Linked DNA regions of Pelodiscus sinensis. The protein of the gene in region 1 purifies or fractionates together with the protein of each later gene. This does not show direct contact. Links are inferred from orthologs where the notes say so. Each region holds a gene or a part of one and is shown in the gene's direction. Other genes may lie near its edges.

Region 1 (3,745 bases):
AATAAACCAGCCTTCCCAGACCTAGCTTCTATAACCCAGCCACTTGAGCTGCAGCTCCTATTGAAAAGCAGATAATCCACAGCTGTTAGCCTGATCATTACATCTGGGCTAGAAATTCTCTTGCATTAGAGCAAAAACCAACTACTAGCTGCCTGACCTTATGATGGCACTGCTGCAGTGGGCAGAGGATTCCAGAATTGTCCATTATGAGTTTCTTACATCTTCCTCTGCGTGCTGTTGCTTCAGTCATTCCCCTCCAGTATAGCACCAGTGCCTAGGGCCCACTCTCTTCAAGTCCTTCCCTATAGCCCCAGGCCCTACATAACTTCTATTATGGCTCCAGTCTGACAGAGCCCCAGAAGCTCCTTGCCCCTATGGCCAAACCCCCAGAAGTCCTCTAGAACCCAGCAGCTCCTGATGGCCCCCTGCTAATCCCCCAGGAGCCCCTCTGGCCTACTAGGCCCCACCCCCTCAGGCCCCCCCAGCAGCTTCTGCCCCTCAGGGCAGGGTCCACCCTCTTCTGCCCCCTCCTCCCCAGCGACTCCTGGCCGCATCCCCCCTCCAGCCCTGCTGGGTCCCACCTCCCTCCTCCTCCCCTAGCAGCTCCTGGTCCCTCTGGGCCCCCCCCCCAACGGCCCCTTCTTGCCCCCCCACAATGGCTGCTGAGGACCCAGTGGGCCAGCGGCCCTTGGGGGTGGGGCCAAGGAAGGTAAGGCCCAGTGGGGCCCCCAGCAGCCCCGGACCCTCCTCAGCCCCCCTCCCCCAACGGCCCCTGGCCCCACTGGGCCCCTCCTCAGCCCCCCTCCCCCAACGGCCCCTGGCCCCACTGGGCCCCTCCTCAGCCCCCCCCCCCAACGGCCCCTGGCCCTACTGGTCCCTCCTCAGCCCCCCTCCCCCAACGGCCCCTGGCCCTACTGGGCCCCTCCCCCTCAGGACCTTCTGCTTGCGGCCCCTCCATCCGCTTCCCTGGGCCGCCCTCGCCCAGCCCGGCCAATGGGCGGCCCGCTCCGCCGGCTCAGCCAATGGCCGCGCGCGCGCCCCGGCCCCCAATGAGCGCCGAGCGTGAGGGCCGCCGCCAGCCAATGAGAGCGTGCGGCGCCCGCGGCGCGAGCCCGGCTCTGGCCCTCTCCCTCCGCCCGCGCGGCTGGCTCGGGCCCGCCCCTTCCTTTTTCTCTTTTCCCTCCTTCCCCCCCTCCCTTCCCGCTCCGCCTCGTCGGTGTGTGTGTGTGTGCGCGCGCACACGCGCGCGCGCTCTCCCGTCCCCCCCCCCTTTTGCCGCGCGGCCCTTTCTCCCTCCGCCGCCGGCGCCCGCCACAGCCCGGAGCCGCCGCCCGCCCCGGGGGCCCCCCCGCGCCGCAGGAGCCGCCCCGCGCCGCCGCCATGGAGCTCATCACCATCCTGGAGAAGACGGTCTCGCCGGGTGAGGGCCGGCACGTGGGGGGGGAGGCTGAGGGGAGGCCGGGCCGGGGGGGGAGGGGCGGAGCGGGGGGGGGGGGCCCCACGGCGGGGACTGACTCCGGCTCCCGCTTCCCCGCAGACCGCTCGGAGCTGGAGGCGGCGCAGAAGTTCCTGGAGCAGGCGGCGATCGAGAACCTGGTGAGCGGCCCGCGGGCCGGGCGGGCGGCAGCGGGGTCCCCCCCCCCTCGATATCCCATCCACCCCTCCCCCCTCGCGGGCAGGGAGCGCCCCGCCCTGCCCCGCGCAGGCCGAACCGCCATCGAGGGCGCAGCCCAACTTGCCAGCGCCCAGCCGGGGCGGCGGCCGGCCAATGGCGGCGCGCCCGCGAGCCGCGCGGGCCAATGGGAGCGCGGAGCCGGGGGTAGGGGGAGGGTAGGCTGCGCCGCGCTGCGTGTGCTGCGCTGGGGCCTGCGGGCCATGTGGGGAGCGCGGGCCGGGGGGGGGGCTGGGACACCCCCTAGCGCCCTCCAGCGCCATAGGGCCCCGCTCCCCCCCTTGCGGAGCCTGCTCCTTCACCCCCCCCCTTGCATCACGTGCCTCCCATGCTGGGCCTTCCCTGCCTGCCCCCCTAGGCCTTCCCCCTTCCCCTTCCCCACTGGGCCAGGCCCATCTGGTTCCCTCGGGCCGGGCCTTCGATTCTTGCATCCTGTTCCCCTTTCATTGCTGGGCCCTTGGTTCTTGCACCCTGTTCAGATCCCGCTCCCCTTTCCCCCTGAAGCAACCCTCTGCTCTCTTCTGAAGGGGGCGCTTCTCCCCTCCTTCCCACCCCCGTCTCTGACCCAGAGGTAAGAAGCCAGAAGGTGAAGGGGTCACCCGGGTTGGGACCCCTGTCTACTGTCCTGGGTGGAGTTAGAACAGATTTAGAATAGGTTTCAGGCAGGGGTGGGGAACCTCATGTCTTGGGGCCAGATTCAGTCCCAAGCTTTCCTGGATCTGGCCACTGAGGCTTAGGGCTCCCTCTCCCCCTAGTATCGGGGAGTCTGCAATGGTGCTCCAGCCCCTGTGGGGCTGGAACACACACACTCTACTAGCCTGGGCTTTCCAAGGCTCTGCTATGTGTGGAGAATGTTGAGAGTGACTTTCTTCTCATTGGGGGGGGCACATCAATGAGGGGTGTGGATTTTCGTTAGGTTTTTTTTTCTTCTCACTTGTGTGCGGCCCTTGACCAAAAAAAGGTTCCCCACCCCTGGGAGAAAGGAAAGGGTGGGGGCTACTTTGTTCCAGGGGAAAAGGGTACTCAATCTACAAATGGCACACTCCCATTAGCATGTTGTGTGTAGCATGTCTTAGCATCCTACACACCTATTAAACTCAAGGGAGGATTGTGCAGAAAAGTTAAAAATACTTTCTACCGTTAGCATATGTTTGCCTAATTAAGGTACAACGTTACAACTATTACACTAAAAAAAGGTGTAAGGGCCTGATTCCTAGCCTTGTTACTCTACTCATCCTTGAGGCAATCTCTGGTTCTTTTGGGTGATTAAATATGGGAGAATTATTGCATTCCTGTTTGCTACTGTAAAGATTGTCACTGACTTGACTGAGTATACATCTACACTGCAACACTATTTCGAAATAAACTAGTGCTATTCCAAAATGACTTGGTCCGCATCTACACAGCAGGCAGTTATTTTGAAATAATATCAAAATACTGTCAAGCTAGAGGACTTTTTACTCTGAATCCTGTAACCCTCATTGTACTAGGAGTAAGGGAAGTCAGAGGAAGGGTGCTCTGTTTTGAAATAAGTACTGTGTAGATGCTCCTAATTTCAAAATAAGATATGCAATTGATGTAAGTCAGTTTGCGTCGCTTATTTCGAGTTAAGCCTGGCAGTGTAGATGCACCCTGATGAATGGGAGGTAAAAGTTGAATATTTTTCAGCCACCCTTCTACATTTCCTCTTCACCAGCATTAATGCAAGCTGTGCAGCTTTTTGATACATAATTTAATGTTAAAGGTTTGTGAAACCTTCTGGCAATCAGAGTCGTTAACAATTGGGCTTATAGTTTCATGTTCATTCCAGTTCTGTGGCTAGCTGTTTAATGAATCATAGCCCACCACTGAAACATTGGGATATGTTGAGGAATCCTTTGGTTTAGCTGATTAAACTGTCTGAGGCTGGTTGGTTTTGCTGAATCTTGTTGCAATGCTTCTGTGTGTGTGGAAGCCATGAGAACATGTACACTAAGTTTGGGTTTGGGTCTGCAGTTTAGAAGAATTAAATTCTAAATTAGAATTGTGAGTTCAGGCCTAGAATGAATAAAGCTGCTGTTGCTAGTTTAAACA
Region 2 (3,745 bases), on another chromosome or scaffold:
AATGCGGCTATGGGGAGGCCCCGCCCCCCCGGGCGCCTGGCGGGCGAACGGCCACGCCCCCTGGCGCCCGGCAACCCCAAATGGTTGGGGACCACTGCCCTATAGATACCAGTGACCAAAGTCCTGCAGGGTATGCAGTGCCCAGAGGGCACCACGGGAATGGCATGGTCATGCAGTACCTGGTGGTGGCCAAAGCCACGTGGGAATGGCACAGCTACGTAGTGCCCAGCCAAATGGGGGGAGGGGGCTGGCACAGTCATGTAATGTCCAGGTGAGGGAGGGCTGGCACAGCCACATAGTGCCCAGGCAAGGGGGGGGGGGGGCTGGCAGAGCTACCAAGTGCCCAGCCATGACGGAGGCTACATGGCGATGGCATGGCTATGCAGTGCCCAGCCATGACCAAGGCTGTGCAGGGTTGGCACATATATGTGCCCAGGTGGGCGGGAATGTGGCAGGCTGCATAGTGCCTGCTGACACCACAGTCCTAGCACGTGAGGTCCCTAAGGCTGCGGCGAATGGGGGCTGGTGATAGGAATGTCTGTCGGGACACTGGCCTCGCCTGGCCGCCCGCCCGCCCGCGCCAGGGGGCGCTGCGGACACAGCCCGTTCCCCTCCCCACGGCTCCGCAGCGCGGCCTTCGGAGGGAACGCGCCTGCCAGCCAATGAGCAGCAAGGGGGAGACGCTCCCGCCAGCCAGTGAGCAGCAGGCACAGAACTCGCCATGTCCAATGAGCGGCCGAGGGGACGCTGGGCTTGGCCAATGAGCAGCTTCCGGCGGGCTGGGCTCGGCCAATGAGGCGCGTGGGCTGAGGTTTGAATTAAGGCGAGGGTCCAGTTCCGCGGCGGAGACGTTGGGCAGCCGTCGCGCCCGTTGGGTCGCTCCGCGCGCAGCACAGGTATGAAGGGCCGGGCAGCCCCAGCGGCGGCACGGGACGGGCTCCGTGCCTTGGCGTTGTCCTGCCCGGGCTCGCTGCAGGGGCGACATCCAGCGCTGAGGGAAGCCGTTAACGGCAAGGATGGGGGGGAGGGGGGTCCTTGAGGAACGGGCTCCCAACACCTGCGGGGAGGGGCAACCGGCTCCCCGCGCCTGGGAGACCGGAGGCGGGGAAGGGAGCCGGCCCGGGGGGAAGGAGCGGGCTCTGGCTTCCAGCGCCCGGCGGCGGCGGCGGCAGCGGCGGGGAGGGGGCGGGGCTGCGTCTCTCTATAACACCATTCATGACAATAGAATCCTCTGGGCGACAGAATGACGTCATCACCAACAGGCTGGCGCGTGCAAATGGCGGGGCGGGGGCGCGTGCAGAGGGGGCAGCCCCCTGGCGGTGCGTGATTGGAGCAGCCTCTGCTCAGCCAAGGGGACTTGCTCTGTCACCGCTACGTGCAAGGAGCGCTGGCTTGGCCTGCGGGGTGAAGAAGGGCTCCGAGAGCCAGTGTCTCTGCAGGGCTCGGGCGGGTATGACCCTCAGTAACCCTGGCTGGCCTCGTGCCGGGGGGAGCACTGAGGCGCTGAGACGTCAGCTGTGACGCCACCGCTTGGTGAGAAGTGTTCTCCCGGGGGAGTTGGTTTGGGAGCATAGTGAGCGAGTGGCTTCCCCTGTGTCCTTGCTAAGCGTCTGATGCTCTTGAGGAGGTACGCAGCATGTTGGGGGAGGCGGGTCTAGGGCCTACAGGTCCTGAGATGTATGTTGCGCAGGTGGCGGGCATATGTCTGCGTGTGTTATATTTGTTCTAGTGCTGCTTTGAATGGGTGTGATTTGGTCTGAAAGATTGCTTGTGGTGATGAGGTTGGGGGATTGTTCGAAGGCTCAAAGAGGGAGTTCTGGAATGCTTTATTTTAGGCTACCGTAACCATTAGGTTCAAAGGAAACCTGCTCAATGCCTTCAAAAGGTGAGCCTGGGATTTTAAATGTTCAAGCCTGCTAGAGTCTAGTCAAGTCTCTAACAATCACGCACTCAACAAAAATATTGTTGTTGTTTTTTATGACTTCCTGCAACTATTTAACATATTAAGGGTGCAGATTATAAACTGTGCTCATAGGAGGGTTCTCCCATCCATACAGGTCAGTGGTTCTCAACCAAGGGAACATATAATTGTGAGGGTACAGATGTATCTGCATTATCTGATTAAAATCTGATGATGTTGATCATTGTTGCTACTAGAGATTTTTGAATGTGCGAGAGGAACTGTGTAACTGAAAAATGTCCGCAGTTACATGCAGGGCAGCAGTCAACTCATCAGGAGCCCGCTTTTAAGCCAGCCCTCCACACATAGGGACTCCTGCTGTCCCATGCTGCTGCCTTTGTTATGGAGGCAGCAGGTGGCGTCTCAGGACCTGGTATACACAGAGAACCCTCATCAATTTAAAAAGCCCCTTCAGTAAAGGGAGCACATTAACACATGGATTAAAACTGCCTTTTAATGCAAAACCTAGACAGAAAGACATTGTCCCTTTTGTGAGTATTAAAGAAAGCTAATTTTAAAGACTGCTTTGGGGAGAAGAGATGAACTATTCGGATTCCTTTAAAAAAAAACACACACACAGTTGTGCCCATGAAAGCTCATGATACCATCTACATGTTTTGTTAGTCTCTAAGGGTATGTCTAGACTACAGGCTTTTGTAGACAGAGGCTTTGTTGACAGCTTCTGTCGACAAAGAGCATCTAGACTACATCCAGTTCTGTCAACAAAGCAAGCTGCTTTGTTGACATGAGAGTATAGATGCAAAGAACAGTGTAGATGCAATAACACCTTCTGCCTACAGGACTCTGTTGACAAAAGGCATTATTCCTCGTAGAATGAGGTTTACTGCCGTTGACAAAACTGCCGAGTTCTGTTGACGTTATGTCAATAGAACTCGGCGGTAGTGTAGACGCACGTATAGTTTTGTCAACAAAAGGCCACTTTTGTCGACAAAACCTTGTAGTCTAGACACACCCTAAGATGCTGCAAGACTATTTCTTGTTTGTTTGTTTTTTAAATTTCAGTTACAGACTAACTCGGCTATCTCTCTGAAGCACAATTACTGGAGTTATTCTCTGGCCAGAAATTGTTTCTTCCCTCCCAGCATCCAGCTCCCTTCTGCCTGCTGTTTCAGCAGAGCTGGAGCTTGGACTTTCTCCCATTCCAGCCCCACAGCTCAGCTAACTGGGGCTGTAATGGAGTTGGATTCTTCTCTGTCTGGTGCCCCTGTGCAGCTAATGCTGAGAATTTCAGTTTCTCTCAGCCCAGCTGGGGCTCAAAAACAAATGGACTCACTTCTTCCTCCCCTTCCTCTCTGTGCAGCTTAACCTGGAACTTTAAGTCTCTTGCAACCACCCAGGCAGGGGGTGCTGAATTAAACTGAGTCAGACTCTCTTCTGCCTGATACCCCATCCCAGTTGGAGTTGGGAGTGTGTCTACCTCCAGCACCCAGGCAGTAAAGCTGGGACTGAAACTGAGTCAGACTCTCTGTTCTTTGCCTGCTTCAGCGAGCATCTTTCCCTGGCTGTTATACACAGCCCAGCTGGGGACGGAATGCTCCAAACTTAGTTCTGATCCCCCATTGATCCTCATCCATCCTGCATTTCCTCACCATCAGCGCACTGTCTATGTTGTCTCCAGGGTCCTAATTAGTGGAGCCAAAACCATGCCTGTGTGCAGCAGTTCATTTCCTCCTGTGCGGCTGCCCACCTGTGTGCCCGAGAGGTAACACTGTTCTGACCTATGGATTTATACTTATGGGAGCATTCTAGCTGAGGGATTGAGAC
Region 3 (3,745 bases), on another chromosome or scaffold:
CATGGCTTTAGATCACGTAGGGCAAAATGTTCTGACAATTCATTGACATTACAAAATCTGTTTAAAAAGGCAGTCATCTGATCATGTCCTAACCACATTCTAGCCCGCTAGAATGTGCTTCCTTAACACGTTTGACACGTTGCCCTCATCACATTGCTTCAAAAATGTGAAGATTGTAACATGATGCTTCAATGTTCGCAATGCAGCCAGAACATGAAATGGCTTCTCTTTGCGTAGGGAAGGCATTTTGGAACAGACCTGTGAGCACACTCAAAGTGAAGCATGACTCATCTCTGCACTGATAGGTGTGTAATAGGTTCTGGAGTCATGTTGCCTGGACACCTGTTTGGACAATACTTGCCACAGTGTTCTGTGCTGCGGTTTTGAACATACTGAGTTTCTGTTGAAGTGGGACTAATGTGACTTTGGGCTGTTCTCTCAAAAGGCTCAGAGCATTTTACCAGAGTTAGTTTATCCTCACAACACTCCAGTGAAACTGGTGGGTAGTTCCCTTGTTTTCAAAGATAGGGGGAAGTGAGGTGTAGAAATGACTCGCCCAATGTCACAATAATCAGCAGGGTTAGGAATTTTGACTCAGGAACATGGGACTGGAAAGGAGTTCAAGCCTCATCCTCTCATAATCCCTACATGGATCAAGAGCTAGTTTAAAACTAGTTAGGCTGTTTACCCACTTCTGGAGAAGACTGCTCCAGAACCTCACTCCTCTCTGATTGCTGGCAATATTGAATTTCATTCTACATTGATTCATGGCCAATTTTGACTTAGTGGTTTTGAACTCTGAGCAGGAAGCATCACTCCACTCCTTACAAAATCTATCGGTGCAGCACTATATTTTACAGTCTTAAGAGAGCTCTGCTGGCAATTGTAATGCCTGCTGTGGAGAGAGCAAGGCTGTGACAGAACACCTGGGGAGCAGTTACCCCCATCATTTGTAGTTGTGTAAATTCTGTTTCAAAATTCCATTGGGAGCAATTTTTTAAAATAAATGATCCTTTTCAGTGTGTGGGCTCTCCAGATTGCACCACTGGGGTTGGGCAGATGACATTGCTTAGAAAGAAGATGAGTCATTACCTAAACTGAAATACAAAGTGGTAACAAAACAGGCAAGCAAACATTAATTCTTAAATTATATCCCTTTGAACAATGTGAGTTATTTGCAATACAAGCATGGTTGGGTGTATTGGCCCGGATCCTGTCAGCCCTTGCCCGTGTGCTTAACTTCATGTGTGTGGAATCCATGGAATTCAACTACTGGAGCGCAAAGTTCAGCGTGTGCGCAGAATTCGCCCGCTGCTGCAACTGCATCTGCACCAAGCCGGTCTAGGTGCAGAAGTGGGGTCACACCGCGCCAGAGCCAGCAGCGCTGAGGGGGGAGCACCAGGGCTATTGCTTACGACCCCCGCCGCTGCAGTCGGGGTGGGGGGTGAGCGCTGGCCGGCTCAGGCCCTTTGGCATGTACGATGCGCTACGCGCTTCTGACCCCAATTCACCCCGATTTCTCCGCCCCGTGCTGACAGCCCCCGCCGCGGCGCGTTGCGGCCTTTCCGCGCAGTGGCCAGCAGGGGTCGCTATCACCGCTGCTCGCTGCCGGCTGGCGCTGGGGCCCTCGCGCATGCTCCGGTGCAGCGGGTGGGGGGCCGAGAGCAGCGAGCGGGCCAGCCGGGGTGGCGGAGCAGCAAGGAGGTGAGACACTCGGGATTGCGTCCCACCCGCCTCGGGGGTGCAAGCGGGGCTCCGGCCGGCGGAGGGGGGGGACCGAGCCCCGGGCTCCCTTTCCCCGGTGGGGGCCGAGGCCTGGGCCAGCCCCACGTGGCCGCCGAGCGGCTGTGTGCGAAGGTTCCACGGGTGGAACGCCGAGTGTCAGTTCCCTCCGGCCGCGTTCCGAACGTTCCCCGGGAGCCGCTCGCGCGCGCGCAGCCGCCCCTCCCCCGTTCGCCGAGTGCGGGGCTGCGGCAGCGTGCGACGGGGAGGACCCGGGCCAGCGCGGGAATTTCAAACTCCAGCAGCTGCTCTGTGGCTGGGGGGGAGGGGCCGCGGCGCGCAAGGCCGCGTGCGGGCAGGGGGGGCGTTTGAGGGTCCGTTGCGGGGTCTGATGAATCGGATTGACGGGTGCTAGTGGAGGTCGACCTACCCTGCACGGGGCCGCGCGCGCGTGCGTGTGTGTGTGGGGGGGGGATTGCAAAACAGACCCTTAACTCCTTAGGAGCGTGATGGGGGCCGCAGGCTGGCAGGGGTGGGGATTCTCTGGTGGCTTCGTAAAGGAGTGCGGGGGGGAGCGTTCACACTGTGTCTATGTCTACACTGGCGGCTCCTTGCGCAAGAACATCTTGCACAAGGGTTTTTGTGCAAGAACTCTTGCACAAGAAAACATCCACACTGCCATGTGCGAGCTGTGCTTTTGCGCAAGAGCGCCGTGCGAGAAAGCTCTGAGGGCCATTTTAGCCATCGGGCTTTCTTGCGCAAGAAATCCCTGCCGAGCATCCACACTGCCCTCTTGCGCAAGAGCTCCTGCACAAGAGGGCTTACACCTGTTAAAAAAGAGCGTAGCTCTTGCGCAAGGAGCCCTCTCTTCCCACACCGTACTGTACATTTCCTTGCACAAGAGCGGGCGGGCAGTGTGGTCGTTCTGCAGATTCTTGTGCAAGAATGACCATACTTGCGCAAGAAGCCGTGAGTGTAGACATAGCCTGTGTGTTTGTATGTATCCAGCGTTGTGGCCTTGTTCACGCGGGGCTGCAGAGAAACGAGGCGTGTGAGGGCTTGTAAAAGATACAGCCACACCCACCTGGTTGTAAAAGTCAGAAAGAAAGAACTCAGCAGTGGGCAGAGGGAGGCGTGTTTGCATAGCATGTAGCCTCTTGGGAGTAGCCTCCCTCTTCACATGTCTCATTTCTTTGCAAATAATCGTGATGGTGAAGGCACATTATAGCCATGTTCTGCCCCAGCTATATAGCTGGGAATTAGAGGCTTGATTTTTGTGGTGTTTGGGACTCCTATAACCAGTTAGTAAAATGAAGGCAGGCAGATTGTATGTTGAAGTCACTAAGTAAGCTAAAATTGTGCTGTGCTTTGCATATCACTTTTGTCTGGAAATGGATGTTGTGTTCCTTCTCTCTGGGGCATTTGATATTGGCCACTGTTGGCAGACAAGATACTGGGCTAGCTGGACCTTTGGTCTGACCCAATATGGCTGTTCTTATATATAACTAGAGGGACTACGTCTAGACTGGCATGATTTTCCGGAAATGCTTTTAACGGAAAAGGTTTCCGTTAAAAGCATTTTCGGAAAAGCACGTCTAGATTGGCACAGACGCTTTTCCGCAAAAGTACTTTTTGCGGAAAAGCGTCCATGCCAATCTAGACGCGGTTTTGCGCAAAAAAGCCCCGATTGCCATTTTTGCGATCGGGGCTTTTTTGCACAAAACGAATCTCAGCAAAAGTTTTGCACAAAAGGGACTTTTGCCCGAACAGGAGCAGCATAGTATTTCCGCAAAAAGCACTGATTTCTTACAGTAGGAAGTCAGTGCTTTTGCGGAACTTCAAGCGGCCAGTGTAGACAGCTGGCTGATTTTCCGGAAAAACTGGCCAGTCTAGACACAGCCGGGGTGTCAAAAAACTTTACAAACATTAAAGGGATATAGTACAAAATGATTATATTATTGAAACCTTACCACATTTTCCCCTTGTGCTGCTCATAACATCTTACTTTGTTAAAACTACTGGA

What was found. Proteins that work in one complex are often made in the same cells at the same time.
Region 2: the proteins of KPNB1 (region 1) and DLGAP5 purify together in Homo sapiens (affinity purification with mass spectrometry; 4 studies listed by BioGRID and IntAct, with this or other methods). This does not show direct contact. The link is inferred for Pelodiscus sinensis from reciprocal best matches to the Homo sapiens genes KPNB1 and DLGAP5.
Region 3: the proteins of KPNB1 (region 1) and RCC1 purify together in Homo sapiens (affinity purification with mass spectrometry; 3 studies listed by BioGRID and IntAct, counting the BioPlex papers as one, with this or other methods). This does not show direct contact. The link is inferred for Pelodiscus sinensis from reciprocal best matches to the Homo sapiens genes KPNB1 and RCC1.

What each region holds. Positions count from the first base shown.
Region 1 is NC_134739.1:13,276,353-13,280,097, forward strand, and holds the start of KPNB1 (importin subunit beta-1), read left to right. Parts: upstream 1-1,218; 5' UTR 1,219-1,380; coding exon 1,381-1,420; intron 1,421-1,537; coding exon 1,538-1,596; intron 1,597-3,745.
Region 2 is NC_134714.1:9,372,600-9,376,344, reverse strand, and holds the start of DLGAP5 (disks large-associated protein 5), read left to right. Parts: upstream 1-1,598; 5' UTR 1,599-1,613; coding exon 1,614-1,627; intron 1,628-3,599; coding exon 3,600-3,683; intron 3,684-3,745. UniProt on the Homo sapiens protein: Potential cell cycle regulator that may play a role in carcinogenesis of cancer cells. Mitotic phosphoprotein regulated by the ubiquitin-proteasome pathway.
Region 3 is NC_134735.1:12,938,359-12,942,103, forward strand, and holds the start of RCC1 (regulator of chromosome condensation), read left to right. Parts: upstream 1-1,547; 5' UTR 1,548-1,704; intron 1,705-3,745. UniProt on the Homo sapiens protein: Guanine-nucleotide releasing factor that promotes the exchange of Ran-bound GDP by GTP, and thereby plays an important role in RAN-mediated functions in nuclear import and mitosis.